Linked DNA regions of Saccharomyces cerevisiae S288C. The protein of the gene in region 1 purifies or fractionates together with the protein of each later gene. This does not show direct contact. Each region holds a gene or a part of one and is shown in the gene's direction. Other genes may lie near its edges.

Region 1 (6,762 bases):
AGTTTTGTCTTAACGCTGTAACGGTCTTGTATGCTTATTTTGGTGGTAGGGATCGGTTTGCACCTTGGAAATGCTATGTTTACTTTATTAAAAAAATAATTAGTTTTCCTCCAAAACGTAAACAAATATAAGTTTGAGAGACAAAGAAAAGAATGAAAGAGTCTTATATATATATAAGTTAGCTGGTAGCATAACCATTTTTCTCGACTTATTTATAAAACATTCGACATACTTCCATATTTCAAGCATTAATATGAGACCTAGAATTTTTTCAAGCTAACTTATGTACATTGTAGTTATATGATGAGGAAAAATGTACACAACAGCTTGTGCTGTTTATTCCCATCGTATGTTGCGGTAATGCAAACAGCAATAGAAAAAAAATTGATATAAGAAGAATATGACTAGTAGCATCACAGTGAAACAGTAACGGTAAATGAATCAGCATGTGAATTTTTCTAGAAAATAAAAAAGAAACTCCGAAGCGGGGAGTCGAACCCCGGTCTCCACGGTGAGAACGTGATGTGATAGCCGTTACACTACATCGGATTGTACCTTGGTGATAGTTTGACCTAAAAGAAACGTTCATTATGTAATGAAGAAAGCCAATTATTCGGTCGCAAATCAAGGTTCTGTTAGGGAATATGATTTTCTTTGACTCTCAATGAGTTCTCTTATGACTATTTAGGGGCTAAATTATTTGTTATGGCAATATTATTAGGTAGGAAAGATACGACTTTACTGAAATTGTTGGAAATACAAAAAGGAGCAGATCATTCCACATAATGATATCATTATTCCCTCTTTCATTTAAAAAATCACCGTTTTTATTTTATTAATTATCAGTCTCTGCATTTTCAGATTCTGTTAAATTTGATAAATGTTTTTCGCCGTTTATAAAGTATTTTTGCATCATGTATGATAATGTATTAGTAATATGAAAACTGGTGTTATTAATAATCAGTGGTCAGGATGTAGTATTAGTTTGGAATAAAAGCAAATCTCCTCATGCTATATAAGAGGAATATAGAAAATACAGGCCAGTTGTTCTTATTAAACATGAACATAATAGTGGGTCTAGCAGTTACTATACATTTAAATTGGCGACTACTATTATTCGTACATTCGACTATAGCAGTATTTCCAATTAATGGATCTTTAACTCAGCTATTATACTGTTTGAGTTCCTCGTTTAACATTTCCCTGTCCAACAGGGACTTAAAAGTATGTAGGGTTTGCATTAATATACAGTAGAGACACTTAAATTGTTACTATAGTAACTCAAGTTACTATTCGTGAGAATATTGACTTATTATTCTTCATGAATAGTCGATTAGTAATCAAATGAAGTAATCAGATGTGCAATGCGTCTTTAATGTTTCAGACTGGAGAATGATACGTAGCTACATAATAATCTGGGTACAGTAAACTCAATGATCTATTACCTGAATGATTAATCTGATGCTTGCAATATAACAATTCATCTCGTGACATTAACCATAAGAATTACTCTCATCATTGCTATATCGGCAAGGTTTAATATGTCCAGTCGGAGTGTATTTTATATCTCTTTCTTTTAGAATAAGAATATCTGCTTTTATTCTTAATCAATACTACAACCTAACTACTAACTATCAACACTGTTAATTACGATTCGCTCCAACAAATTTGGTTTTGTGGATTCTTAAATTCTCGAGAAAAACTTCTAATATATCTTGTATACCAGATACTGTAGCCTTTAGCAACGATAGAATACGAACAGTTCTCTTAAAATTCGCCTATTTCTCATACCGTTGCAGATATAACTAAAGTATTGACATTCAGTGACATCTGGCGCTGATATCATTATTTAACACACGTATGTTTGCGTGGCATTGTCATTTTTAAGAGCAGAGAAAGAAACAATGAGCTACTTGAGTGTGACAAGTTGAAAAGTCCACCAATTTCACGTTGAATTAGGATTCATATATGAAATTCTAGTCATTAATTAGAATTGTAAGTTTCTGAGCTTTTTTTTCCTAGTAAATTAAACTTGTCTAATACATCCAGTTGTGATGTATTCTATATCTCAGTTCTACAGTAGCACGAAGTTTCCCGGCCTCTCTATTCAATAAATTCAGCTATCGCTGATTATCAACAGCAGCAACGAATAAAGCATAAAAGAACAGAAAAATTCTTCTACAAATTTATTCTGTAAAGATTCAGCTTCTTTCGTGAATTTCTAAGTTCATGAGGGGAATTTAAGTATGGCGTTTCTTCGTAGCGCCATTGTCTTGAGCCAAAATGGAACTCTAAAAATTTTCACGACATTTTACTAGTCAGTAAAGTGAGCATATACATATAAGAAGAAATTTCAAAAGGTAAAAAATGGAGCAACTTCCAGCTCATTATCTTTTCAATGTTGTCGATGCCATAGTTGGATTATGAAATCTCATATTCATAACCACAACGCGTTTTTTTCCTTTTAAGGCACTACAGACTCCATTCTCACAAGTTTGTCAAAAGCACGAGCGCGATGAGAATTAAAGTCAGATCTGGTTAATGATTCTGGTACAACAGCAGAAACAAATCGAGTACAAATTTAATCTTATTCTGTCGCAATAGTTGACTTTCTTTTCTGGCCTCTCGAACAAAAAGCATGACCGTTTCCAACATTGGGGGGGAAGAACGACTAATAATTTTACCAGACGATTATGAAACTTCGAAAACTATAAACACTTTTACACTGCCGCCACCTTCCAATATTACATCCAAACCTCGTATCGAGCTCTTCGAAAATATTAATGGAAAACTTTACGAAATAAGATCTTTTCAATTCGGCAAAGGGCCCTCGTATTCACATGAGGAAGATTTGGCAAATGATAAATATCACTATACTAAGGAAAATCACCCGATCAAATCAACTTTCATTGTAAATACGTCTGATCCCACCGATGGTTATGTTTTTAACTCAAGCAAAATACACTTTTGTTCTTTATACGATATTGCTTTTAGTTTGATTGGATTTTACTATAGAAACAGTGTTTCAGCAGATGAACAAGATTACTCCAATTCAAGTGATACTGGTGAAAACCAAAAAAGCAACAGCAAAACCAATGAGAAATTTCTTACGGTGCGTGATTACCATGATTTCTTAACGGATAACCATGACAAGAATTGGGAAAACATTTCTTTAAGTCGTCTCAAGAGTGGCTTAGCAAAAGTTAGTGAAACCATTGAGGAAGCTGGTGACGTCTATTACAAGATCACATCTGCAATGATAACACAATTTTTGTTAGGCAAGGTATCAAAAATTGTAGAAAACTTTCCTCCAAGTATCCCTACACTTAAAAATGCCCCAACGGAAATAAAACAGTGCTACAAGGTAGTTATGGCTACAAATCTTTTAGTTTCCCTGATTCCAAGGGCGGCCTACCATAATTTACTTACCTTTTCACCTACAATGGATAGTGGTTGCCTAAATCCGGATATAAAAGCTAGCTTCATAGAACTCGAAAACTACGAGACTACGAACGAATTACAGAATGCTGAAAGAGAATTACTGATGAAAAGTGCCATGAATGTAGGCCTAAATTCGAATGGCAGGGTTTCATTGCCAGTGAAAAAAGTTACCAAAAAAATAGTTCAAAATAAAAAACCAAAAGTAGCCATAGGAAAAGGGGCCATTGATGGATTTTTTAAACGTAAGTAGCTAGTATCATAATTAAACAGCAATTTGAATGCTATAACTCGGTGGTGATGACCTCAGTGCGAGATAATTACACAATATTGTCACTACCAACGAATGGGCTACCTTTTTTTTCCTTTCTCGAATTCAAGAAAAAATTAACAACTTTTCCCTCGATGATGTTAACAAATGTCTGAATATAAAGGAATAGGAAACGGTTGCTAGATTGTATTTACCTTACCAACTTTCAAGTTTTTTTTCTAACTTCCTAACTTTCAGTCTCGATACATTAATCAACAGGACGTAGTGATTGCAAAATTGTTCAGAATATACATTAGATTAAAAGACAAATGGCCAAAGACATTGAGATATCCGCATCCGAGTCAAAATTTATCTTAGAAGCACTGAGACAGAATTATAGGTTGGACGGCCGCTCCTTTGATCAATTTCGTGACGTGGAAATAACGTTTGGTAAAGAATTTGGTGATGTTAGCGTAAAAATGGGCAACACCAAAGTTCACTGCAGGATTAGTTGTCAAATAGCACAACCATACGAAGACAGGCCATTTGAAGGATTATTTGTAATATCTACAGAAATATCTCCTATGGCTGGTTCTCAATTTGAAAATGGAAATATCACGGGGGAAGATGAAGTTTTATGTTCAAGAATAATTGAAAAATCTGTTAGGCGGTCGGGCGCATTGGACGTGGAAGGACTATGTATCGTTGCTGGCAGTAAATGCTGGGCTGTGAGAGCTGATGTACATTTCCTGGATTGTGATGGTGGATTTATTGACGCTTCGTGTATTGCCGTCATGGCAGGATTGATGCATTTTAAGAAACCAGATATAACTGTCCATGGCGAGCAGATCATTGTTCATCCTGTTAATGAAAGAGAGCCAGTTCCACTAGGTATACTGCATATTCCAATATGTGTAACTTTTTCTTTCTTCAATCCTCAAGACACCGAGGAAAACATAAAAGGTGAGACTAACTCAGAAATTTCCATCATTGATGCAACATTGAAAGAGGAACTACTGCGAGATGGTGTATTGACGGTTACGCTAAACAAAAACCGTGAAGTGGTACAAGTTTCCAAAGCGGGTGGTTTACCAATGGATGCGTTGACGCTAATGAAATGTTGTCACGAGGCTTACAGCATTATTGAGAAAATAACTGATCAAATACTGCAGCTTTTAAAGGAGGATTCAGAAAAGAGAAACAAGTATGCAGCCATGCTTACATCTGAAAATGCCCGCGAGATCTAATATTAACGAAAAAACTGAAATAAAAGCAACGCTTATACATATACATGCATGCATTAATATATGTATATATATCGGTACGTATAGATTGTAAAATTACACTTACTACTAAAGGCAGTATGAAAGACGCCCGCAGTTTTTTTCCTACTGTTTTCTTGACTGCGGTGTTCAAAAACATAAAAATCATTAAATTACTATAAAACAAACGCATACTGCGAAGAAAAAAGGCTCGGCTATAAATGCATATGAGAAAATATTATCTTTTGCCTCCCTGCTTAATTTCTGAAGGCATGTACTATCCAAAAGAAAAATCTTGAAAGAAAACAAATCCCATTATTCTTATTATTAAAACAAAAACTTCGTCATCGTCATCACATAAAAAAGACCTACCATTGTCAAACTGTACAACAGCAACACAATAATAATGACGATGATGAGTTCCTCGAGAAACCCTAGAACGGCGTTATAACACTGTTTGAGGGTATTACTTTTTCCACTACTCTCGTGGCGCGGAAGACCTGCTTCCAAATCTACTGTGTAATCAATACACTTAACCTCCTCTCTCTCCCCTTGTGCGTCAGAAAACTCTGCCTGTCTTATTTCCTTCTCCTGTTGTCCTATTTTCAGTACATCATCGATGCACCTCGAGGTATCTTCCATCTTGGTGTCAGGTTGAAAAACAATTGCTGTCGTTTTTTTTTAGTTCAACAAGTTTGGTATGGCAGTTGACAAAAATTCTATTTGGGCTGCAATGAATCAAAGTGTACAAACATCTGGTGAAATCGTTCAAGTTTTATACTGAATAGAAAACAAAAGATAAGGTTCTGCGCATCGCAAATAATAAATTACTAGCGCGCCATACAAGAGACGAGTCTATTTTTTTCCGCCAGACGACACAAAAAAGAACCCGTGCAAATATTATATCCCACCTCCCACGTGTCAGCGAAGCTCGGAACTGCGTAACATTATAGGGCAGAACATCCAAATGGAAAAAGTAATAACACTATTTGCGATGTTAGTGGCCATCCTGCGTCGTTCGGATAGGTTAGGACGGGCTGATGAATATACGGGTGTAATAAAAATGACACCACGTTATCAGGGTTTTCATGACAGTGCAAACTAATATATGTCATATTATTTTAAGTGGGCTCATTTATTTACATGTTTATTTTTTATTGTAATTTGCGTATGTATCATTACACGCTAATGCACATTTGCACGTTCTAATAATGAAGGTCGTCCGTCATAAGCAATTAGGAAATGAGAAATCTTGATTTTATCGCTAAAAAACGCTTTCTCTTGTGGCAGGAGCAGATCTCTTACATATGTAGTTATTTAGTCGCTTCTAAGAGCCAGATCAGGTGCGTGGATTCATATAATATCCCTTTTTCAATAACAACGTTATAAGGAAACGTTGGGTAAAAGAATATTAATTACTGAGTGGAACTTTTTCTCATTGTTCTGTGTATATACAATGTTGTATCTCAAAATGAGATATGTCAGTATGACAATACGTCATCCTAAACGTTCATAAAACACATATGAAACAACCTTATAACAAAACGAACAACATGAGATAAAACACGGCCTTCCCTAGCTGAACTACCCAAACGTATAAATGCTTGAACAATCAGTTTAGATCCGAGATTCCGCGCTTCCACCACTTAGTATGATTCATATTTTATATAATACATAAGATAAGTAACATTCCGTGAATTAATCTGATAAACCGTTTTGACAACTGGTTACTTCCCTAAGACTGTTTATATCAGGATTGTCAAGACACTCCGGTATTACTCGAGCCCGTAATACAACATACAAAAGTAACTC
Region 2 (6,478 bases), on another chromosome or scaffold:
GAGGGAAACCGTTGTCCAAGCCCGCTCCGGACCTAGACTACTAAACTTTCCTTTTCTTAGAGCTTGGTTCCTCGTCGGATAGTGGCAAGTCCACCTCACCGAGACTGCCATCGTCATCCTCGCTGTCGCCATCTGCGCTTAACCCGGATTCTCCTTCTTCGTCTTCCAAGTCCCTCTGGGCCTCAGCATAGTACTTCACACAAAAAGGGTAGATCTCTTCACTGAACAATGACGCCAATGAGTCGCCGTGCGGGAACTCCTTCCCGGGTTTTAGGCCGGTCCATCTGAACCAGCCAAATATGGTTTTCATTCCCTGTCTGTACTTTTTTTTACCCTCTGGACTGCGTTTGTCTTTGATCAAGTCCGGGTTTATCGAGTCGTAACTCTGGGGCCACTCAATTGGAACGGGCTCACTAGTCAGTATCCCGTCTTCTTGGTCATCTTTGCCTTTTTTGATTTGGAACACCTTGGTGACTTGCTGCTCTTTGAAGTCTCCCTCAATTCCATGGAAATGGAATGTTATACTAAAATCTCTAGTGTCGTACATTTCAGACTCCAATGCCAGCCATTCTACTTTGATCTTATCTATAGTGTCAATGTATTTAAAATCTGAAGCCCTTATGTAATTCGCAAAACTAACGTGTTGTGAAAGCACAATTTTCCAGAACTCTGCAATTTCGTCAATATACGCGTCCCTCTTTTCATAAACAGGCTTCATTTTGTTCAATCTGTATAATTCTACCTCACGTTCAATAGCGTCCACTTCTTCTTCGCATTTAGCCAATCCTAAGAATGCTTTTGCACTGACCATCTACCGCACTTGCTAAGTGCATATTGTTAGTATAATGGGTTGCTTTATTTTTCCATTTCATGCCCTGCAGAGCTCAATCCTACATACTGCTCGTTCTCGTTTTCTTGGTCACTCATCATTGGCAGTGTTATGCTTCGAAATGTTTGTCGTCAACATCAAGCGCCTAATCATTAGGATGCTTTTCTTCCCTTTTCTCACAAGCGCAGTGTTTGATTTTTTCAATTTTTTCCGCCTGGAATTTTTTCACATTCCAAAATGAAAAGTACATATATAATACAATTAATTATATTAGTTTTTTCTTTCCTCCTTTCCTTTTTCACTATTTTAACGTAAAAAAAGATGGTATATACATATATACGTACTTTTGAATAGTTGCACACATAACGAAGCCACGAGTATTCTATTTGTCTTCACCAAAGTACTCTTCATGTAGCTTCTTTTGTTGTTCCCATTGCTTCTTCAACTTCTTGGTCATACTCTTGGTGATATCATTACCGTCTTTGTCCTTTGTTGGAAGGCCTTGCTCGTCCCAAGCACTGTACAATGTGACATCCTTGAACATATCTTGTGGTTTAATTTGAGCTTTCTGCTTCCTCTCGTTTTCCTTCTGCTCTCTTAATTTCTGCTGTTCCAATTTCTTTTGTTTCTTTGCTAGTTCGTTGGCATGTTTCTCCTCGTTTAGCTTGACAATTTCCAATTTTTCATCGTTAGTCAAAAATTTGATCAAGGCAGATTGTCCATTCCTATCATCCAAGGCAACATTCAAGTTTAGCAAATCTTCGTTTCTAATTTTATCCGTTAATTGCAAGAATTCCTTGGGTTCGGCTTTCTTGATAGCTAAGGAACGTACATCATCTCTAAATGTGGATAAACACTTAACATATGGCATAACAGTGTCTTCCAATGAGCCTAGGGATCCATCGTTGGAGCCAGCTTGGGCTGCCCAACCCAAATTGTCAGGACGGGATGGAAATCCAATTATTCTTAAGATTTTGGTGATGTAGCTACAGATAGCAATCAAGGGCTCAATTTTTAAAGCAGCACCTGCAGTGGTAATGTATGTGTTTGACTTGGTCACTAATTCGCTCAGTGTCTTCAAAGCAACAGGTGTGGATAAATTATCACAGAACGCCGAATGGACTTTCGATTCACTTTCAACAAAATCAGCCAATAATTCTTTCTCTAAGGGACTAAACTTTTTAGAGATATGACCTGCAGAAGCTGCATCGTTCTTCAATGCTCTAATAGTCTTAAAAAAATTGTTCATGGAGTTTTCAAATGACTTTACTTCATGGATCAAAGATTCCTTGAAATCCAATTGATTGTTCCATTGTACTGAGGCAAAAGCCAATCTTAATTGGCGCGGTGAGAATTTTTTCAAAGCTTCTTGAATGGTAATGAAATTCTTTAAGGATTTAGACATTTTTTGACCCTCAATATGTAAATGGCCCGTATGTAAGAAATAGTTGATCCACTGTTGATTGTCGAAGCGAGCCTCGGATTGAGCCAATTCGTTATCATGGTGAGGAAAGGCCAAATCGATGCCACCTGAATGAATATCGATGTTAGAGCCTAGGATATCACTGGCCATCACAGAACATTCAATATGCCATCCTGGTCTACCCTTACCCCATGGTGATTCCCACTCAGGTTCACCTGCCTTGGAAGCCTTCCATAAAGCAAAATCATTATTCGACTTTTTTCCGTTATCAGCAAAGTTGCTTAAGGACCCTTCACCATCATTAATTAAGTCTAACTGGCCCTTATTCCATGGCTGGCATTTAGCATAGTCATGATTTGGGGATTTGTCAAATTTTAAAGTATCAAAGTACACGGAACCGTCGGAAGTGGCATATGCGTAACCATTATCAATAATTTTTTGAACAAAGTCAATAATTTCTGGAACGTACTCAGAAACACGAGTTGTAACGGTGGGAGGTAGCACGTTTAATGATAACATGTCATCATTGAATTTCTGTTCCCAGTAAGCTGGAAGTTGGCGGAAAATCTCTGGATTGCTAATGGTAGAGCCCAATTCTTTATCCAATAGAGGAACCGTAACGTCCTTGACTTTTTCAAAGGCAACTTCTGCGTCCATGGAATCGCCCTTAGTGATTGATTCAATAGCATTTTGAACTGCGGTGACATGCATAGGGAATTTAGGATTCTCCAATTTTAAAGTTTCAGTATCAGCATTCGATAACCAAGTTTCAAATTCTTCGATAGTTTTGATCTCGCTGCCTTGAATAGTAAAATTTTTGTTGATATATTGGAAAAGTGCGGTTTTGACCTTGTCAACAACAGTGGCGTTGAATTTGGTATCATTTTCTTTGACAAAATTGTCAAATAAATAGTTTTGTCTAGCTCTCAAAATAATTTTATCGTCGATATCAGTAACATTTTGCACAAATTGCACGTCGTAACCAAAATAATCTTGAATAATTCTTCTATTGATATCAATAGAGACATAGTTTCTGGCATGACCCATATGGGAGGCATCGTAAACAGTAGGACCGCAAGAGTACCAAGTGACACCTCTATTGCCAGATTGCGGAATGAATTCAACCTTAGATCTTGTTAAACTGTTGTACAACTTCAACACAGTTTCTTTAGCTTGTGGCGTTGGAACCTTCCATTTGGGCTGCACAATCTTCGGCGTAGACATTATAGTATATCTTCTCAGGGCTTTTATGAAGATATTCATGCATAGAATAAGAACTTGACCGGACACCTAATCACCGACGCCAATTAGCAATACTGTTCTTTTCAATTGATAATGTCTTTTGACTCTTCGCGATGAAAAATGTTTGCGGTCACCCGCGCTGAAAATTTTTTATTGCGATGAGCTGAAATTTTCCATCTCATTTTTAATAGTAAGTATTCTTGCATGAACACTAATGATATTAGGAGGGCTTTTTAAGTTGCTACCACTATTGCAGTCGTTATCAACCTTTTGCACTTTATCTAGTAATGTCCGTGAAAAGGTCTGTTTCTGAAATCGAAATTGAAAGTGTTCAAGATCAACCCTCTGTTGCCGTGGGAAGTTTCTTCAAGGGCTTCCGTGCTCCCAGTGACACTACGTTCGACTTATACAAAAAAAAGAAGTCTGAAAAGGACGAATTCGTATTACACGGTGAAAACGAGAGACTAGAATACGAAGGTTATACTGATTCTTCTTCCCAAGCTTCGAACCAGTATGTTGTGGGCCTATTTAATCCAGAAAAGAAAAGTATTCAACTCTACAAGGCTCCCGTACTTGTTTCCAAAGTTGTATCCAAGTCAAGCAAGAATCTAAGGGGTCCAAAAATAAAAAGTAAGAGTGATACTCGTCCATCTGCTTTGAGAAATGCGTTGGGTGAAGCGTTTGGTACTAAAAAGGCTAAAAAAGCTATTGCAGATCTAGAAAGAAACCGTATTGACTCTGATAAGTTGACTGATTCTGCTATTGACATTGTGGATTCCGTGAGAACTGCATCTAAGGATTTACCAACTCGGGCTCAATTGGATGAAATTACTTCCAACGATAGACCTACTCCATTAGCCAATATCGATGCCACTGATGTAGAACAAATTTACCCAATTGAAAGTATAATACCAAAGAAGGAATTACAGTTTATTCGCGTTTCATCAATTCTGAAAGAAGCGGATAAGGAAAAGAAGTTGGAATTGTTCCCATACCAAAACAATTCCAAGTATGTGGCAAAGAAATTGGACTCTTTGACACAACCTTCACAAATGACCAAATTACAGCTACTATACTACTTATCACTATTACTGGGCGTATACGAAAATAGACGCGTGAATAACAAGACGAAGTTGTTAGAAAGGTTGAACAGTCCTCCTGAAATCTTGGTAGATGGTATCTTAAGCAGATTTACCGTGATAAAGCCTGGACAGTTTGGAAGATCAAAGGATCGCTCCTATTTCATTGACCCACAAAATGAAGATAAAATCTTATGCTACATCTTGGCAATCATAATGCATTTGGATAACTTCATTGTTGAAATCACACCCTTAGCACACGAATTGAACTTGAAACCTTCCAAAGTTGTCAGTTTGTTCAGGGTACTTGGTGCTATTGTCAAAGGTGCCACAGTGGCTCAAGCTGAGGCTTTTGGCATTCCAAAAAGTACTGCAGCTTCTTATAAAATTGCCACTATGAAAGTTCCATTTAAGCTACCTGAAATGACAAGAAGAGGAAGAGGTCCAAGACGTTAGAGTTACCTAGAGGTATATACTGAGCATTTGGTTTGCTCTGGTTTTTTTTTTTGCTAGATGGTTCTATAAAGCAGCAAAATATAAGACGGTCCTCCTGATGAGAGGAAGAGAAAAACAAAAATAACTACATAGATATACGCTATTTTTTCTGAGAAGATACATATGTACAAATAGATATTTTACAATAATTTTAAACTTCGCAATAAATTCAATATTAATTCATAGCGTAGTTCGGCTTTCTAGCACCTTAGTAAGCTGAAATTTAAAAATGTATCAGTTTATTTTTTTCAATAAAGGTAACTTTAAATGAGAAACCAACGTGTTATATAGGTGAAATCATGAATAGCAGTCTGCAAGTTGGCATCGGAATTGATGTAGGTTCATCAAGTGCTAGAATAGGTGTATATAATTACTACAATGATGCGCTGTTAGAAATGGCGCAGGAACCAGTCCCATACTACCAGGATTCTTCAAAGAAGTCATGGAAATTCTGGCAAAAATCAACTGAAATAATTAAAGCCCTTCAAAAGTGTCTTCAGAAACTGAACATTAGAGAATATGAGGTAAAGTCATGTGGTGTTTCTGCAACGTGTTCATTAGCTATTTTCGAAAGGGATCGCACAAGTAACATGCTGATACCGTATCCAAATGAAGATAATGTCATATTTTGGATGGACTCTTCTGCCGTAAACGAATGTCAATGGCTAAATATGCAATGTCCACAACAGCTTTTGGATTATTTGGGAGGAAAATTTGTACCCGAAATGGGCGTCCCCAAATTGAAGTACTTTTTAGATGAATACTCTCATTTACGAGACAAACATTTTCATATCTTTGATCTTCATCAATACATTGCTTATGAACTGAGCCGCTTGTATGAATGGAACATTGAAGGACTTTTGGGAAGAGAAAATCTTAATGGTATAGGCAATGATGGAGAGGTATCTGGCTGGTCATCTTCATTTTACAAAAACATTATAAATTTACCATCTAATGTAAGCATTGGAACCACTAGTCTTGTTGCCAATAAGCACATTTCGACAACTGTAGTTCGCAGTTGTATTGACAGTTATGCAAGTTGGTTCGCAGTTGCTTCTCCTCATTTGGAAACATCATTGTTTATGATAGCCGGGACTTCTAGCTGCTACATGTATGGTACTACCATCTCTGATACTAGAATTCCTGGAGTATGGGGACCTTTTGATACTATACTTGACAACAGGGGTGATTTTTCTGTTTATGCTGCGGGCCAGTCGTGTACTGGTAAATTAATTGAACATTTATTTGAGAGTCATCCATGTGCCAGGAAAATTCTGAAAGATGGTGCTGATATCTATCAAGTACTCGAACAAACCATTCGTGACATTGAGAAGAACAATGGTCTCTCAATTCATATTCTTACGAAAGATATGTTTTTCTACGGTGATTACGAGGGAAATAGGACTCCTT
Region 3 (11,701 bases), on another chromosome or scaffold:
AGATGTTCCTTTACTTGCTCCCATGTCCCAATCTAACACACATGAGTCGTCGTACGCCAGTAAATCTAAAGATTTCAGACACTCAGACTCGTACAGTGACAATGAGACTAATCATACAAACGTACCAATATCCAGTACGGGTGGTACCAATAATAAAACTGTTCCGCAGACAAGCGAACAGGAGACTGAGAAAAGGATTATACACCGTTCACCTTCGATCGATACTTCCTCATCAGAAAGTAATTCACTACACCACGTCGTTCCTATCAAAACGTCAGATACCTGTCCTAAGGAGAATACAGAGGAATCTATAATTGCTGATCTTCCACTTCCCGATCTGCCTCCAGAACCTCCTACCGAATTATCAGACTCCTTTAAGGAACTTCCACCGATCAATTCTCGTCAAACTAATTCCAGTTTGGGTGGTATTGGTGACTCTAATGCCTATACTACTATCAACAGTAAGAAAAGATCATTAGAAGATAATGAAACTGAAATTAAGGTATCACGAGACACATGGAATACTAAGAATATGCGTAGTTTAGAACCTCCGAGATCGAAGAAACGAATTCACCTGATTGCAGCTGTAAAAGCAGTAAAATCAATCAAACCAATACGAACAACCTTACGATACGATGAGGCAATCACCTATAATAAAGATATTAAAGAAAAAGAAAAATATATCGAGGCATACCACAAAGAAGTCAATCAACTGTTGAAGATGAAAACTTGGGACACTGACAAATATTATGACAGAAAAGAAATAGACCCTAAAAGAGTAATAAATTCAATGTTTATCTTCAACAGGAAACGTGACGGTACTCATAAAGCTAGATTTGTTGCAAGAGGTGATATTCAGCATCCTGACACTTACGACTCAGGCATGCAATCCAATACCGTACATCACTATGCATTAATGACATCCCTGTCACTTGCATTAGACAATAACTACCATATTACACAATTAGACATATCTTCGGCATATTTGTATGCAGACATCAAAGAAGAATTATACATAAGACCTCCACCACATTTAGGAATGAATGATAAGTTGATACGTTTGAAGAAATCACTTTATGGATTGAAACAAAGTGGAGCGAACTGGTACGAAACTATCAAATCATACCTGATAAAACAATGTGGTATGGAAGAAGTTCGTGGATGGTCATGCGTATTTAAAAACAGTCAAGTGACAATTTGTTTATTCGTAGATGATATGGTATTGTTTAGCAAAAATCTAAATTCAAACAAAAGAATTATAGACAAGCTTAAGATGCAATACGACACCAAGATTATAAATCTAGGCGAAAGTGATGAGGAAATTCAATATGACATTCTTGGCTTGGAAATCAAATACCAAAGAGGTAAATACATGAAATTGGGTATGGAAAACTCATTAACTGAAAAAATACCCAAACTAAACGTACCTTTGAACCCAAAAGGAAGGAAACTTAGCGCTCCAGGTCAACCAGGTCTATATATAGACCAGCAAGAACTAGAGCTAGAAGAAGATGATTACAAAATGAAGGTACATGAAATGCAAAAGCTGATAGGTCTAGCATCATATGTTGGATATAAATTTAGATTTGACCTATTATACTACATCAACACACTTGCACAACATATACTATTTCCGTCCAAGCAAGTGTTAGATATGACATATGAATTGATACAGTTCATATGGAATACGAGAGATAAGCAATTAATATGGCACAAAAGCAAACCTGTTAAGCCAACAAATAAATTAGTTGTTATAAGCGATGCCTCGTATGGTAACCAACCGTATTATAAATCACAAATTGGCAACATATATTTACTTAATGGAAAAGTAATTGGAGGAAAGTCCACCAAGGCTTCATTAACATGTACTTCAACCACGGAAGCAGAAATACACGCAATAAGTGAATCTGTCCCATTATTAAATAATCTAAGTTACCTGATACAAGAACTCGACAAGAAACCAATTACCAAAGGATTACTAACCGACAGTAAATCTACAATCAGTATAATTATATCCAATAATGAAGAGAAATTTAGAAACAGATTTTTTGGTACTAAAGCAATGAGACTGAGAGATGAAGTATCAGGAAATCATCTGCACGTATGCTATATCGAAACCAAAAAGAATATTGCAGACGTAATGACCAAACCTCTTCCGATAAAAACATTCAAACTATTAACAAACAAATGGATTCATTAGATCTATTACATTATGGGTGGTATGTTGGAATAAAAATCCACTATCGTCTATCAACTAATAGTTATATTATCAATATATTATCATATACGGTGTTAAGATGATGACATAAGTTATGAGAAGCTGTCATCGAAGTTAGAGGAAGCTGAAGTGCAAGGATTGATAATGTAATAGGATAATGAAACATATAAAACGGAATGAGGAATAATCGTAATATTAGTATGTAGAAATATAGATTCCATTTTGAGGATTCCTATATCCTTGAGGAGAACTTCTAGTATATTCTGTATACCTAATATTATAGCCTTTATCAACAATGGAATCCCAACAATTATCTCAACATTCCCCCATTTCTCAGGAATCCCAACAGTTATGACAAAATTTATCAGAATTCCCAGTTTCATACATGTTTGATATTTATAGATAATTCATAATGACGGTTTATTTATTCTGGTAAGTTATGATATCATGTAAAACGAGGCAACTTGGCCGAGTGGTTAAGGCGAAAGATTAGAAATCTTTTGGGCTTTGCCCGCGCAGGTTCGAGTCCTGCAGTTGTCGTTATTTTTTGGACAGTAATAAGAGTACGTAAAGTCAATGGAATACGTGGTAAAAGCATCACGTTTATGTTTTATTAAAAGATTGGCATAGAACTTGGCCTTCTTCGTAACGACTTATCACCCGTTAAAAGTATGCTATATGAGTTATATCGGCTGCAGTGTATTTCTTCCTGGCTCATTTAAAGCTAATGAAATGTACCTCTCGCTTCATTTTCTAAGGTAGTGTTTTGAAGGCGTATGTATGTAATGTCACCCGGACTTTTGTAAAGAAAAAATTTTGAGTTTATGTCTTTCCGAAAATTTTTACCGATGAGCATTGAAAAGTTGCATTATTAAATTTGGTAGCGTAAAAACCACCGATTAAACAGGTAGTGTAGGTTGTAAATTAAAGATCATATTCTTTCCTGTTTACATCCAGTTTTACGTTGTTGGCCGTATTGGTATATTTCTAGTATCAGTTACACATATTTCATTGAAAGTATGGCTAAACAAAGACAAACTACTAAATCGTCTAAGCGATATAGATATTCTTCCTTCAAGGCTAGGATTGACGATTTGAAGATTGAACCGGCTAGAAATTTGGAAAAAAGGGTACATGATTATGTCGAGTCGTCGCATTTTCTCGCTTCCTTTGATCAGTGGAAAGAAATTAATTTAAGTGCCAAATTTACGGAGTTTGCAGCGGAAATTGAGCATGATGTTCAAACATTACCCCAAATACTATATCATGATAAAAAGATTTTTAATTCTTTGGTTTCATTCATTAACTTTCACGATGAGTTTTCTTTGCAACCGCTTCTGGACCTCTTGGCTCAATTTTGTCATGATTTAGGTCCAGATTTTCTTAAATTTTATGAAGAAGCTATCAAAACTTTAATAAATCTGTTAGACGCTGCTATAGAATTTGAGTCATCTAATGTTTTTGAGTGGGGTTTCAACTGTTTGGCTTATATTTTCAAGTATCTCTCGAAATTTTTGGTTAAAAAACTGGTACTCACATGTGATCTTTTAATTCCACTATTGTCTCATTCTAAGGAATATCTTTCAAGATTTTCAGCAGAAGCATTATCTTTTTTAGTAAGAAAGTGTCCTGTTTCTAACTTGCGCGAGTTTGTTAGATCAGTTTTTGAAAAGTTAGAGGGAGATGATGAGCAAACTAACCTCTACGAAGGGCTTCTGATATTATTCACAGAATCCATGACGTCAACGCAAGAAACTCTGCATTCGAAAGCTAAAGCTATCATGAGCGTTCTTTTGCATGAAGCTTTGACCAAATCATCCCCGGAAAGATCTGTTTCATTGCTCTCAGATATTTGGATGAACATTAGTAAGTACGCCTCAATCGAAAGTTTACTTCCAGTCTATGAAGTTATGTATCAGGATTTTAACGATTCTCTCGATGCCACCAATATCGATAGAATATTAAAAGTATTGACAACAATTGTCTTCTCGGAAAGTGGTAGAAAAATTCCTGATTGGAATAAAATTACTATCCTAATTGAAAGAATAATGAGTCAAAGTGAAAATTGTGCTTCGCTTTCACAGGATAAAGTGGCTTTCCTATTTGCTTTATTTATTCGTAACAGTGACGTGAAAACTTTAACATTATTCCACCAAAAACTTTTTAACTACGCTTTAACAAATATATCTGACTGTTTCCTTGAATTCTTTCAATTTGCTTTAAGGCTAAGCTATGAAAGAGTATTTTCATTCAATGGATTAAAATTCCTACAGTTATTTTTAAAGAAAAATTGGCAATCACAAGGAAAAAAAATTGCACTTTTTTTTCTAGAAGTAGATGATAAGCCTGAACTGCAGAAAGTACGGGAAGTAAATTTCCCAGAAGAATTTATTTTATCTATCAGAGATTTTTTTGTCACAGCAGAAATTAATGATTCGAATGACCTTTTCGAAATATATTGGCGAGCTATAATTTTTAAATATTCGAAATTACAGAATACAGAAATTATTATCCCATTGCTTGAACGTATCTTTTCAACTTTTGCATCACCAGATAATTTTACGAAAGATATGGTCGGTACACTCTTAAAAATATATCGTAAAGAAGACGACGCTTCAGGGAATAATCTATTAAAGACTATTCTGGATAATTACGAAAACTATAAAGAAAGTTTAAACTTTTTAAGAGGATGGAACAAGTTAGTGAGTAATCTTCATCCTTCAGAAAGCTTAAAAGGACTAATGTCACACTATCCAAGTCTACTCCTTAGCTTGACAGATAATTTTATGTTGCCTGATGGGAAGATTCGTTATGAAACTTTAGAATTAATGAAGACATTAATGATTTTGCAGGGTATGCAAGTACCTGACCTCCTTTCTTCATGTATGGTTATCGAGGAAATACCTCTTACACTACAAAATGCCAGAGATTTAACCATTAGAATCAAGAATGTTGGTGCCGAATTCGGAAAAACCAAAACAGACAAGCTAGTATCCTCTTTCTTTCTCAAATACTTATTTGGCCTTCTTACCGTTAGATTCTCTCCAGTTTGGACTGGTGTTTTTGACACTCTTCCTAATGTTTACACAAAAGATGAAGCCCTCGTTTGGAAACTTGTGCTATCATTCATTAAACTTCCTGATGAAAATCAAAATTTGGATTACTACCAGCCTCTTCTTGAAGATGGTGCAAACAAAGTTCTGTGGGATTCGAGTGTAGTGAGGTTAAGGGACACTATTGATACGTTCTCACATATTTGGTCAAAGTATTCTACTCAAAATACGAGCATTATATCTACTACTATTGAAAGAAGGGGGAACACCACCTACCCAATTTTAATTAGAAATCAGGCTCTAAAAGTTATGCTATCGATTCCTCAAGTTGCTGAAAATCACTTCGTCGACATCGCACCTTTTGTTTATAATGACTTCAAGACTTACAAAGATGAAGAGGATATGGAAAATGAACGTGTTATTACTGGTTCATGGACAGAAGTTGATAGAAACGTGTTTTTAAAGACTTTAAGCAAGTTCAAAAATATAAAGAATGTTTATAGTGCAACAGAATTGCACGATCATCTGATGGTACTGTTGGGTAGCCGTAATACAGACGTTCAGAAGCTTGCGTTGGACGCACTTCTTGCATACAAAAATCCAACGTTGAATAAATATAGAGATAATTTGAAAAATCTACTAGATGACACCTTATTCAAGGACGAGATTACGACTTTTTTAACCGAAAATGGGTCGCAGTCTATCAAGGCTGAGGACGAAAAGGTAGTCATGCCTTATGTCCTTAGAATTTTCTTCGGTCGAGCACAAGTCCCCCCAACTAGTGGACAGAAAAGAAGCCGCAAAATAGCTGTCATTTCAGTTTTGCCAAATTTTAAGAAGCCATATATTAATGATTTTTTGAGTTTGGCTAGTGAAAGGCTGGATTATAATTATTTTTTTGGGAACAGCCATCAAATAAATAGCTCAAAGGCTACCTTGAAAACTATCAGACGGATGACTGGTTTCGTTAACATTGTAAATTCTACTCTGTCTGTATTAAGAACAAATTTTCCTTTGCATACTAATTCAGTGCTGCAGCCGTTGATCTATTCAATTGCTATGGCATACTATGTCTTAGATACTGAGAGCACAGAGGAGGTACATTTAAGAAAGATGGCAAGTAATTTAAGGCAACAAGGTCTAAAATGTTTAAGTAGTGTCTTTGAATTTGTTGGAAATACATTTGATTGGTCTACTTCTATGGAAGATATTTACGCCGTTGTAGTTAAGCCTCGTATTTCACATTTTTCGGATGAAAACTTACAACAACCCTCCTCTTTACTAAGACTTTTCCTTTATTGGGCACACAATCCATCTCTGTACCAGTTTTTGTATTACGATGAATTTGCAACTGCCACTGCATTGATGGACACCATATCAAACCAACACGTTAAGGAAGCTGTTATTGGCCCAATAATTGAAGCGGCGGACTCAATTATTAGAAATCCAGTAAATGATGATCACTACGTAGATTTGGTGACTCTCATCTGCACATCATGTCTGAAAATACTTCCTTCGCTATATGTCAAACTTTCTGACTCAAACTCGATTTCCACATTTTTGAATTTGCTAGTTAGTATCACTGAGATGGGATTTATTCAAGATGATCATGTTAGAAGTCGTTTAATTAGTTCATTAATATCAATATTAAAAGGAAAGCTAAAAAAACTGCAGGAAAATGATACCCAAAAAATTTTGAAAATATTAAAGCTGATAGTTTTCAACTACAATTGTTCTTGGAGTGATATTGAAGAACTATACACTACCATATCTTCTTTGTTCAAAACATTTGACGAGCGAAACCTCAGGGTTTCCTTGACAGAGCTCTTCATAGAACTCGGTAGAAAAGTTCCTGAATTAGAAAGTATTTCGAAATTGGTTGCGGACTTGAATTCATACTCCTCATCACGTATGCATGAATATGATTTTCCTAGAATTTTATCAACTTTCAAGGGGTTAATTGAAGATGGTTATAAGTCCTACAGTGAGTTAGAGTGGTTACCTCTGTTGTTCACCTTTTTACATTTTATCAATAATAAGGAAGAACTTGCGTTAAGAACAAACGCATCCCACGCTATAATGAAGTTTATTGACTTCATTAACGAAAAGCCTAATCTTAATGAAGCTTCAAAATCGATTTCTATGCTGAAGGATATACTTTTACCCAATATAAGGATTGGCCTCAGAGACTCCCTAGAAGAGGTACAAAGTGAGTATGTATCAGTGCTATCATATATGGTAAAAAACACGAAATATTTCACCGACTTCGAAGATATGGCCATTTTACTGTACAATGGTGATGAAGAAGCAGATTTTTTTACAAACGTTAATCATATTCAGCTTCATCGTCGTCAGAGAGCCATTAAAAGACTAGGTGAACATGCTCATCAACTCAAAGATAACAGTATATCCCATTATTTAATTCCAATGATCGAACATTATGTCTTTTCGGATGATGAAAGATACAGAAATATTGGAAATGAGACCCAAATAGCCATCGGAGGGTTGGCGCAGCACATGAGTTGGAATCAATACAAAGCTCTTCTTAGAAGGTACATTTCTATGTTGAAAACCAAGCCTAACCAAATGAAGCAAGCCGTACAATTAATTGTTCAACTTTCTGTTCCACTTAGAGAAACTCTTCGTATCGTAAGAGATGGGGCTGAGTCGAAACTTACTTTGAGCAAATTTCCTTCCAACTTAGATGAACCCAGTAATTTTATTAAGCAAGAATTGTATCCGACTCTTTCGAAAATTCTTGGCACTAGAGATGACGAAACTATAATTGAAAGAATGCCTATTGCGGAGGCATTAGTTAATATTGTTTTAGGGCTCACAAATGATGATATTACTAATTTCCTCCCTAGTATTCTAACAAATATTTGCCAAGTTTTGAGAAGTAAATCCGAAGAATTAAGAGATGCAGTAAGAGTAACCTTGGGTAAAATCAGTATTATCTTGGGCGCTGAGTATCTTGTCTTTGTGATAAAGGAATTAATGGCTACATTAAAACGTGGTTCTCAAATTCATGTGTTAAGTTACACTGTCCACTACATATTAAAGAGTATGCACGGAGTCTTAAAACACTCCGATTTGGATACCTCGTCCAGTATGATTGTTAAGATTATAATGGAAAATATCTTTGGGTTCGCTGGTGAAGAAAAAGACTCTGAGAATTATCATACAAAAGTGAAAGAAATTAAGAGTAATAAAAGCTATGATGCTGGTGAAATTCTCGCCTCAAACATCAGCCTGACAGAATTTGGAACATTACTCTCTCCTGTGAAGGCTTTGTTGATGGTCAGAATTAATCTAAGAAATCAAAACAAACTGAGTGAATTATTGAGACGATATTTGTTGGGTTTAAATCATAATAGTGACTCTGAGTCAGAAAGTATCCTCAAGTTCTGCCATCAGCTTTTCCAGGAATCAGAAATGAGTAATTCCCCTCAAATACCAAAGAAAAAAGTGAAAGACCAAGTAGATGAAAAAGAAGACTTTTTCTTGGTAAATTTGGAGTCGAAATCTTATACCATCAACTCAAACAGTTTGCTTTTGAACAGCACTTTACAAAAATTTGCTTTAGACTTACTTAGGAACGTAATAACGAGACACCGCTCCTTTTTAACTGTCTCGCACCTAGAGGGTTTTATTCCATTTTTGAGAGATTCGTTACTTTCGGAAAATGAAGGTGTGGTAATTAGTACTTTACGTATCCTGATTACATTAATTAGGCTAGATTTTTCCGATGAATCTAGTGAAATCTTCAAAAACTGTGCGAGGAAGGTACTAAATATTATCAAGGTTTCTCCTTCAACTTCAAGCGAATTATGCCAAATGGGTTTAAAGTTTCTTTCTGCCTTTATACGTCACACAGATTCAACATTAAAGGATACTGCTTTGAGTTATGTTCTAGGGAGGGTCTTACCAGATTTAAATGAACCAAGCAGACAAGGCCTTGCTTTTAATTTCCTAAAAGCACTTGTTTCAAAACATATCATGCTTCCAGAACTCTATGACATTGCGGATACTACTAGGGAAATCATGGTCACAAACCACTCAAAAGAAATTAGGGATGTATCCAGGAGCGTTTACTACCAATTTTTAATGGAATATGACCAAAGTAAGGGTCGTTTAGAAAAGCAGTTCAAATTTATGGTCGACAATTTACAGTATCCTACCGAGTCCGGCCGTCAGTCCGTAATGGAATTGATCAATTTGATTATTACAAAGGCTAATCCTGCTTTACTATCCAAATTATCATCTTCCTTCTTTCTGGCGCTAGTTAATGTTTCTTTTAATGATGATGCGCCAAGATGCCGTGAGATGGCTTCAGTATTGATTTCCACCATGCTTCCAAAGCTTGAAAATAAGGACCTTGAAATTGTTGAAAAATATATAGCCGCTTGGCTAAAACAGGTTGATAATGCATCCTTTTTAAATCTTGGGTTGAGAACTTATAAGGTCTACTTGAAAAGTATTGGGTTTGAACATACTATTGAGCTAGACGAGCTTGCCATCAAGCGTATAAGGTACATTTTGAGCGATACGTCGGTAGGATCAGAACATCAGTGGGATTTGGTATACTCAGCTTTAAATACGTTCTCATCTTATATGGAAGCAACAGAGAGCGTTTATAAACATGGTTTCAAAGACATATGGGATGGTATTATCACATGTCTCTTGTATCCGCACTCATGGGTCCGTCAATCGGCGGCAAATCTTGTTCATCAACTCATAGCCAATAAGGATAAGCTGGAGATATCATTAACCAATCTGGAAATTCAAACCATTGCAACAAGAATTCTTCACCAATTAGGTGCGCCTTCTATTCCGGAGAATCTTGCGAACGTCTCAATAAAAACATTAGTTAATATCAGTATCCTATGGAAGGAGCAACGCACGCCGTTCATAATGGATGTATCAAAACAAACTGGAGAGGATCTAAAATATACTACCGCCATTGATTATATGGTAACTCGAATTGGTGGTATTATCAGGTCGGATGAACATCGTATGGATTCTTTTATGTCGAAGAAGGCGTGTATTCAGTTATTGGCCTTATTAGTTCAAGTTCTGGACGAAGACGAAGTAATTGCAGAAGGGGAAAAGATATTATTGCCGCTATATGGTTATTTAGAAACATATTACTCAAGAGCAGTTGATGAAGAACAGGAAGAACTACGCACTCTTTCAAACGAATGTTTAAAAATACTGGAAGACAAATTGCAAGTATCCGATTTTACAAAAATATACACTGCTGTCAAACAGACCGTATTAGAAAGAAGAAAGGAAAGGAGATCTAAAAGGGCAATTCTGGCTGTTAACGCTCCACAAATTTCTGCTGATAAAAAGTTGAGAAAGCATGCGAGATCGAGGGAAAAGAGAAAGCATGAAAAGGATGAAAATGGGTATTATCAAAGACGTAACAAAAGAAAGAGAGCCTAGCTGTAATATATCTTTATAACATGTATACTAATGAATAAAAAATCCAAGTTATAACGTCAAAGCTGTAGTACGTTAGCATTTCCGTAAGTAAAACCGTAAACTTGATACGTTTTTTATTTTCTTTATTAATAGTAATACTATACACTGTCTTTAATAAAACGACGCTATTTATAAAACTGTTAGATAAAAGACATACCAGTCTTCCTCATATGACCTACTTTAAAACCCCAAATGACAAGAATGTTTGATTTGCTTTGTTTCTTTTCAACTCAGTTCTTACAGTTCTTGAGAAGCTTTGGCAGTCTTGGCAGACTTCTTTGGCAACAAGTTTTGGTGAATGTTTGGCAAAACACCACCTTGGGCGATGGTAACATTACCCAATAGCTTGTTCAATTCATCATCATTTCTGATGGCCAATTGTAAATGTCTTGGAATAATTCTGGTTTTTTTGTTATCTCTAGCAGCATTACCAGCCAATTCTAAAATTTCAGCAGCCAAATATTCTAAGACAGCAGTTAGATAGACTGGAGCACCAGAACCAATTCTCTGGGCGTAGTTACCTCTTCTTAGCAATCTGTGCACTCTACCAACTGGGAATGTTAAACCAGCTTTAGCAGATCTAGATTGAGAAGCTTTAGCAGCTGAACCAGCTTTACCACCTTTACCACCGGACATTATATATTAAATTTGCTCTTGTTCTGTACTTTCCTAATTCTTATGTAAAAAGACAAGAATTTATGATACTATTTAATAACAAAAAACTACCTAAGAAAAGCATCATGCAGTCGAAATTGAAATCGAAAAGTAAAACTTTAACGGAACATGTTTGAAATTCTAAGAAAGCATACATCTTCATCCCTTATATATAGAGTTATGTTTGATATTAGTAGTCATGTTGTAATCTCTGGCCTAAGTATACGTAACGAAAATGGTAGCACGTCGCGTTTATGGCCCCCAGGTTAATGTGTTCTCTGAAATTCGC
Region 4 (6,723 bases), on another chromosome or scaffold:
CGGATAGCATGTAATCGACAGAAACCTTCTGACCCTCAACAGATCCTTTCTCAATTGCACCTTTCAAAAATGATTTACTTGTCCAGTTGATTTTTGTTATAACGGTCATATTCGTGGTGTCATGCTGCCCCCAGAATAGAAAGATTTTACTTTCTACTGCAAAATTGCTACCAGAGGGGACGTCTGGAGTTTTAGTTGTTTGTGTCACCAAAACATAGTTATTGATATCCATGTGTTCAATAGACTCGGTTAGTAAACATTTTGTTTGCTTAGGTCCGATAGAATTGTTCAATTTCTTCGTGTACTCATAGTGTCTTGAACCTCCTTCAACCAACGAAGGCGTGAATTTTGGTATCGTTTCCACATTGACATTATTCTTATCTCTAGTGATAACTTTCTGCATATACTCTGTATTCGATCCAAATAGCAATTGGACCACGGTCCCTAATGGAGCTGGTATATTCTCATTTTCCCTTATAATAGAGTCATCCTTATCCTTTTGAATATCAGGCTCGGTAGGTGCATGTGAGCTAGGTTCCATTTTCGGTAAAGTTGATACTGTAACAGTGTTCTCCTTCGAAGACCTTTTCCTTTTGGTAGCAGATCTTGTTAAAATATTACCAAGCTCCTCCACCAATATCTTTGTTGCATCCGTTACACCATCAAATGTACCCTTTTCAATAGGACTTTTGATCAAGCTTTTACCTGTCCATTCAACAGAGACATACAGTTTTAGTTTTGTTTCATTGTTGTTTGCCCATGATAAAAGATAAACTGTTCTCACATAAAATGAATTTCCAGAAGGAACATCCGGAGTTTTTGTTGTTTGCAAGACTTGAACATACTCCTCTAAGTTAAAGTGTTGAATGGTTTCAGTTATCATGCATTTAGTTTTACCGGGTCCAATGGCACCTGGTGTTGTTTTTACGTAGGAATAATCTCTCTTTTTACCTTCAGAAACCGTGGGTGAATCAACGAGAACAGGGATTGGCGAAATATCACTATTCTTTTGCGCTTTTAAAATGGCCATAATATAACTGACATCTTTCCCGAATAATATATTGACAACCCGCCCTAACGAAGCGTGTATTGTTGATTCGTTAACTAATTTTTCATTGGGCGCTGGTTTGTATACTGTTTCTGTGGGTGAGTGAATTTTTGGACCTAGTGGTGGAATTCCTGTTCCATAAGGGGTGTCTGTTTGTAGAGGCATGGGTAAATCTTCCGGCTTTCCTATGCTGACGCTTGATGTCATGTCGGTAGAATCAGATATGTTATTGCTATTATCGTAAAGATCGTCATCATCATCTCCATAATCATCGTAATCATCATCGTAATCGTCATTTTCATCATCACTGATAGAATTGGAGCTGCTATTAGTGTTATTACTGTTGCTACGAAACCTCTTTCCCAAAATTATTTGATTCCATACTTCAGTAATTAAATCATATGTAGCATCTCTTGAAGTGAAAGAGGCAAACGTGTATTTTGTGTGTAAAGTGTCTATAACGATCCCATTAGGGAATATTCCTGCTGTGGCCCTTTTCTCTATTTGAACGATTGTCTTGAACGGTATAAAAACGGTACTTACCCAACCAAGGATGTTCGAATAAAATCCAATATGTTGATCAGAAATATACATTCTGCCTTGCAAAAGGATATCTCTTGACAAAGCACAACTATGGTCTAAAATCAACCTTTCATTGGGGCTGACACCAGAGTCCTTGAATATTGCATGGAATTCTGCATCTTTCTTTTCGCTCGCGTATTCGACTCCCTTTATTCTAATGCTGGATTGTCTACCATTTTCCTCCGATGGCTCAATGATATTTACGGGGGTAGATGAAAAGCTTTTACTAGAACTTCTCCTCAATCCCGAAGATGGACGACCGTTGGACATACTAGGTCTCGGTATGATGGTCGATGCAATATCAGTGCTGTTTTTTACTTTGTTTAGCGAATATTTCAGTGCCGTCGAAGGTAGTACTTTCATTCCCATGCTAATGCTTCCGGGGGAAAATGACCTCCTGTTAAGAAACTTCTTGGACATTTCCCTAGGTTCGCGGTCTTCATACTCCGGGTCGTTATTCGTTAGGCCATTAGAGGAGTTGAAGGACAATCTTTTTTTACAATCTTGTAAAACGTCGCTACTGGTGTTTTGTTTATCTGCCATTGCGCTAATCATTGATTTGGCTCTTCTTCTAGGCTTGACTCCATCTGTTGTAGAGGAACTGACTACTGACCATTTGGAAGGAACAGTTTTTCTTTCCAAATTACTTTGTTGTACCGGGCCTCTGCTGTCAAGGTGATCCGCCTCTGGCAGCGATTCTGCTGACATTGCCTCTAACCCTTCAAGAGTAGCTTGAGAATCATCGAAGTGCTCTAATTTTAAGTTTCCAACTCCGGGGGTAGGCTTATCATGAGAGTGCCTGATGGGTTCGAAAACCACTTTCCTGGCCATATCATCCGTCATCTTTCTAGTGTCATCTAATGATGTATCATCTCCTGAGATAGCATTAGAGCTTGAATGTGAGTTCGAGTGAATATGGCCTTTCAAATTTCCAAATGCCAATCTAGATAATGATGATGGTTTACTTTTACTTCCTGCTTCCGTTGTATTAAGCTGTTGGTTACTTGGAGTTGATGATTTGGATGCTGCAAGAATATTGTCTAAATTTTTCAAAAATGGGCCATCGCTTTCTTTTGTCGATGAAGTGTTTTTATTGTTAGTGCTATTTTCGGAAAGGGCTCCTGATATATTAGATGAGTTTTTTTTCCTGTCCTTTGGTTCATTCCTGGAAATTGTTCCATTGTCAGCGTCTTGTACGTTTATTTTGGGAATGTGGCTTACGGCATTATGGGCGAAGGAAAGAAACGTTTCAAAGGCGGTATGTTCATCATGGCCGTCTGGAGTTTTTTCCTCAGCTTGATTGCTGGACCCTTCTCGTTTCCCACTTTGCAGTTTTTCCTTTTCTAATGCCTGGACGGATAAACTTGGTACAGAATTTGAATTCGAGTTACCATCCTGAAAGCGACCCTTCAATGAACCTGCCGTCAAATTCGTGTTTGTCTTTTCAAGCCTGTTTGTTTCCATGGGATCTATAACGATTGGAATATTGAATACACCTTGGCTATGCGCTAAGGAAGATGCCGCCGCCTTTTGAGATCCTTTTGCAGGAGATTCCGTGAAAGTTTCGGGCTTAAGTAAAGACGGAATATCCGGATTTCCTCCTACTCTTCTGAATCGCTCAGCACTGGCTGTTGTGCTAACATTCTCTCCTGTAGTATTATTTAAAAAATTACGATCCTTCTTGTGCTTACGTTTGACTCCAATTGTCCTTAAAAAGGCAGTGCCCCAATGGTGCTTCTTTTTTGAATCTCTAGTCATTACTGTATATTTTCAACACTATCCATGGAGAGTAAGAACCACACACAGTAGCAATAATTTAATATCAATGGCAATAGCAACGAAATTACAGTAGATACCGTGAGCCAGCAGAAACAGATTGATATTTCGTATTTCAAGAAGGCAGAATCATTCAACCACCTACCGTCCCCCAGGAGGACAGATCCCAACGAGGGACCTTTGCGCCCAATTCTACTCCTGCAAGGGTTTCACTTAGAAATGCTTTTGCCAAGGTAAAGGACCCCTAAGACTAGAATGAACTACGCCGGTCCGTCCGGCCGTCATACTCCGTGGAAATTTACTTCTAAAAGGAGAAACAGCGATCTTTGCCGCATAAAGCCAGCCACTACTGGCGTGGAAAGATTTTTAGATTAGAAGACAATACAAAGCGGCAACGTCATAACCTTGGTATTTATTGGGCAAGCATTTTCATATCAGCGTACATACACCAGCAATGGGAATGTAAAGAAGAGTCGTTACTAGCATATTTTCTATTCATGCGGGTACCCAACATGTCACGTTTCACGAATTCTCGTGCAGTTTTTCAGCGATGAGCTAAGGCAGATGGTTATGGACTGTGCCTTCTGTAGTCTGTGGAAGAAAAAACTGGTTAACAGCCTACAGTAGAAATCGATTAATATAAACATATATCTAGCAACGTAACGGAGTATTAGATCAGTAATGGAAGATATCGAAAAGATAAAACCATACGTTAGGAGTTTTTCAAAGGCGTTAGACGAGCTGAAACCAGAAATAGAGAAACTAACGTCGAAGTCACTGGATGAACAGCTGTTGCTATTATCTGATGAGAGGGCTAAATTAGAACTAATTAATCGTTACGCGTATGTATTGAGTTCTCTGATGTTTGCTAATATGAAAGTCCTAGGCGTCAAAGATATGTCTCCTATACTCGGCGAACTGAAAAGAGTAAAATCATACATGGATAAGGCTAAACAATACGATAATAGGATAACCAAATCCAACGAAAAATCGCAGGCAGAGCAAGAAAAAGCTAAGAATATCATTTCCAATGTTTTGGACGGTAATAAAAACCAATTCGAGCCCTCTATAAGCAGGAGCAACTTTCAAGGGAAGCATACGAAATTTGAAAACGATGAACTGGCAGAGAGTACAACGACTAAGATTATTGACAGTACCGATCATATAAGGAAAGCAAGTAGTAAGAAAAGTAAAAGATTGGATAAAGTTGGAAAAAAGAAAGGAGGGAAGAAGTAGAGGTCGACGTATACTGGTACATGAGTGAAAAAATGATTAAAGGTGATGTGAGAGCACAAATGCAAAAATGCTTATAGGGTTTATATACTTTTATAATAACAATAAGAACTCGTTGAAGTAACTAATATGTGTATATGCTATTCTTGTAGTTGGCAGTGAACACTTTTGTGTGAATTGACGTTATATAAGACTGTAGAAATATCTAAGAAAAGAGAGTTTTCATAAAACCCTTCAAGCTTAACTACCAAAAAGCATTCATACTTAGAAGTTGAAATGCACGATGATGCCAAATTGATGAAAAAAGCTAAAAATGCATTTCAGAAGGGAAGAAAATAATAAGCAACATAACAGAGGGAATAGGTGCGCTTAGTCTTGTTGCTGTAAAATTAACCAATTATTCTTGTATTGTTCTAACGATCCGACCATTTCATCCTGAATACTTGTCTTCCTGCCAGCTCCTAATTTTTTATCGTGAGTGGAGCCAGCGAAAGTTTGAGCATAAATTTCATAAGGACCGAAAATTTGCCTTTCATCCGGGGAGGTTGACGAGGATTCGTTGTCACCACCTTCCATTTTGCCATGTGCCATCTTGTCACTTTCTCCTTCGTATTCTTCGTCTTCGAAAATTATGGCGTCATTGTTAGAGTCTGCGAATACGTCTTCATTTTGCAACGCAATCGTAGTGCTTGAATGATTACGAGGTAATAAAGGTTTAGGGAAGCCAACGAAGGAGCTTTTAGCTCCTGGTGAAGAGGACAACTTCTCGAGTGCTTTATTCATATGCAGTGGGTTAGATTCATTAGCACTGGAACGCCTGGAATTGTAAGATCCACCAAAATTAACAGAATTATGCGAAACTGACAACGTGGCCTCGTTACTTGTCTTCATATTCATAGGAGGTACCTGTGTTCCCAAGTTGAAACTCTTCCTATGATGAGGTGGAACATAAACCCCATTTTTAAATTTTTGTTCCATACTGAGTCTACGCTCCTGCTCTAGCTCCTTAGAGTCAGATGAGTGTGAATATCGATTGCCAATATTACCTGTTAAAATTGGATCAATTGGTCCAGAAGATAAATTTAAATGTGCTTCAGATGATGCTGGTGATTTTAGTAAATCTGGTAGTTCATTAGATTCATTATTGTTATTGTTGATATGCAATGATGTTGTCAAAGGAGGTGGAATATATTGTCTATGATATTGATTAGTGGTACTATTGGTGTCGATATGGTTGTTGTTGCCATTGTTATTGTGATTAGTGCTTGCGTGAACAAATACTTCATTATGGCTACCTACCGTTGTATGCGGTAAGTGATCATTTATAGATAAGTTGTCCATACCATTGACGAAATCATGATCACCTTCTTCAAGAGTGAATAAAACGTCGTCTGAATCGTGATCGCCCTCAGAATCCATACTATCCTGAGTGTAGTGTTCCTGGTATGAAGGCTTCCCACCTAAAACGGTAGAGATATCAGGAGCAGTTGATTGCGGAACTCTTAAAAACTGATTCGTTGGGCTTACGTGATGGTTCCTGGCATTTGGTGGAATATAAGCGCCTGGTGAATGTTGAACTGTAGTCGTAGAACCACGCCTTGCATAACCATTTATAGAACTATTGTTGTTATGATTATAGCTCATGTTGTACCTTGAAAGTGGTGACTTACCGGTATAACTGGAGGAACTTGGTCTTCTGTATTTGTTAAAGTTTTTGTTCCAACCCTTTATATAGCTATTACCATTGTTAAAATTATTATAATTACTTCCATGATTGTTATTGCTGTTGTTGTTATTATTGTTGTAATTACGATTCTGTCTGTACTGTTTATTGTTGTTGTTGGAAAACCCCTCCATATACCTGTGCTGGACACTTGGAGGAGTGAAAAAATCTCTGGTGTTGAATTCATCCCTTGCTTTGTAATCGTGGAAAAAATTATTCATGTGTGTATTAGGCGTTGGTATGCCAAGAGGCTTCCTTGATTTTTTCAAAATTTTACTTTTCTTTCTATCTTCGATATTGACTGGTTTGGAAAATTGATTATCAGTTCTTCCGTACTTATTGCGCTTCTTAAATTTGAACT

What was found.
Region 2: the proteins of RRP45 (region 1) and RPA49 purify together in Saccharomyces cerevisiae (affinity purification with mass spectrometry, with the first as the bait; 2 studies listed by BioGRID). This does not show direct contact.
Region 3: the proteins of RRP45 (region 1) and UTP20 purify together in Saccharomyces cerevisiae (affinity purification with mass spectrometry; 4 studies listed by BioGRID). This does not show direct contact.
Region 4: the proteins of RRP45 (region 1) and LRP1 purify together in Saccharomyces cerevisiae (affinity purification with mass spectrometry; 4 studies listed by BioGRID). This does not show direct contact.

The regions. Positions count from the first base shown.
Region 1 is NC_001136.10:1,016,730-1,023,491, forward strand, and holds RRP45 (exosome non-catalytic core subunit RRP45), read left to right. Parts: upstream 1-4,017; coding exon 4,018-4,935; downstream 4,936-6,762. Other genes in the region: RNH202 (Rnh202p), read left to right, coding at 2,639-3,691; PHM6 (Phm6p), read right to left, coding at 5,278-5,592. UniProt on the Saccharomyces cerevisiae protein: Non-catalytic component of the RNA exosome complex which has 3'->5' exoribonuclease activity and participates in a multitude of cellular RNA processing and degradation events.
Region 2 is NC_001146.8:179,912-186,389, reverse strand, and holds RPA49 (DNA-directed RNA polymerase I subunit RPA49), read left to right. Parts: upstream 1-3,781; coding exon 3,782-5,029; downstream 5,030-6,478. Other genes in the region: U2-type spliceosomal complex subunit CWC25, read left to right, coding at 1-44; VPS75 (Vps75p), read right to left, coding at 41-803, 899-930; CRS1 (cysteine--tRNA ligase), read right to left, coding at 1,212-3,515; MPA43 (Mpa43p), read left to right, coding at 5,368-6,478. UniProt on the Saccharomyces cerevisiae protein: DNA-dependent RNA polymerases catalyze the transcription of DNA into RNA using the four ribonucleoside triphosphates as substrates. Component of RNA polymerase I (Pol I) which synthesizes ribosomal RNA precursors.
Region 3 is NC_001134.8:224,399-236,099, forward strand, and holds UTP20 (Utp20p), read left to right. Parts: upstream 1-3,237; coding exon 3,238-10,719; downstream 10,720-11,701. Other genes in the region: HTA2 (histone H2A), read right to left, coding at 10,996-11,394. UniProt on the Saccharomyces cerevisiae protein: Involved in nucleolar processing of pre-18S ribosomal RNA and ribosome assembly.
Region 4 is NC_001140.6:263,451-270,173, forward strand, and holds LRP1 (Lrp1p), read left to right. Parts: upstream 1-4,087; coding exon 4,088-4,642; downstream 4,643-6,723. Other genes in the region: LAM4 (Lam4p), read right to left, coding at 1-3,388; putative serine/threonine protein kinase KSP1, read right to left, coding at 5,009-6,723. UniProt on the Saccharomyces cerevisiae protein: Required for exosome-dependent processing of pre-rRNA and small nucleolar RNA (snRNA) precursors. Involved in processing of 35S pre-rRNA at the A0, A1 and A2 sites. Required for activity of RRP6 in 7S pre-rRNA processing.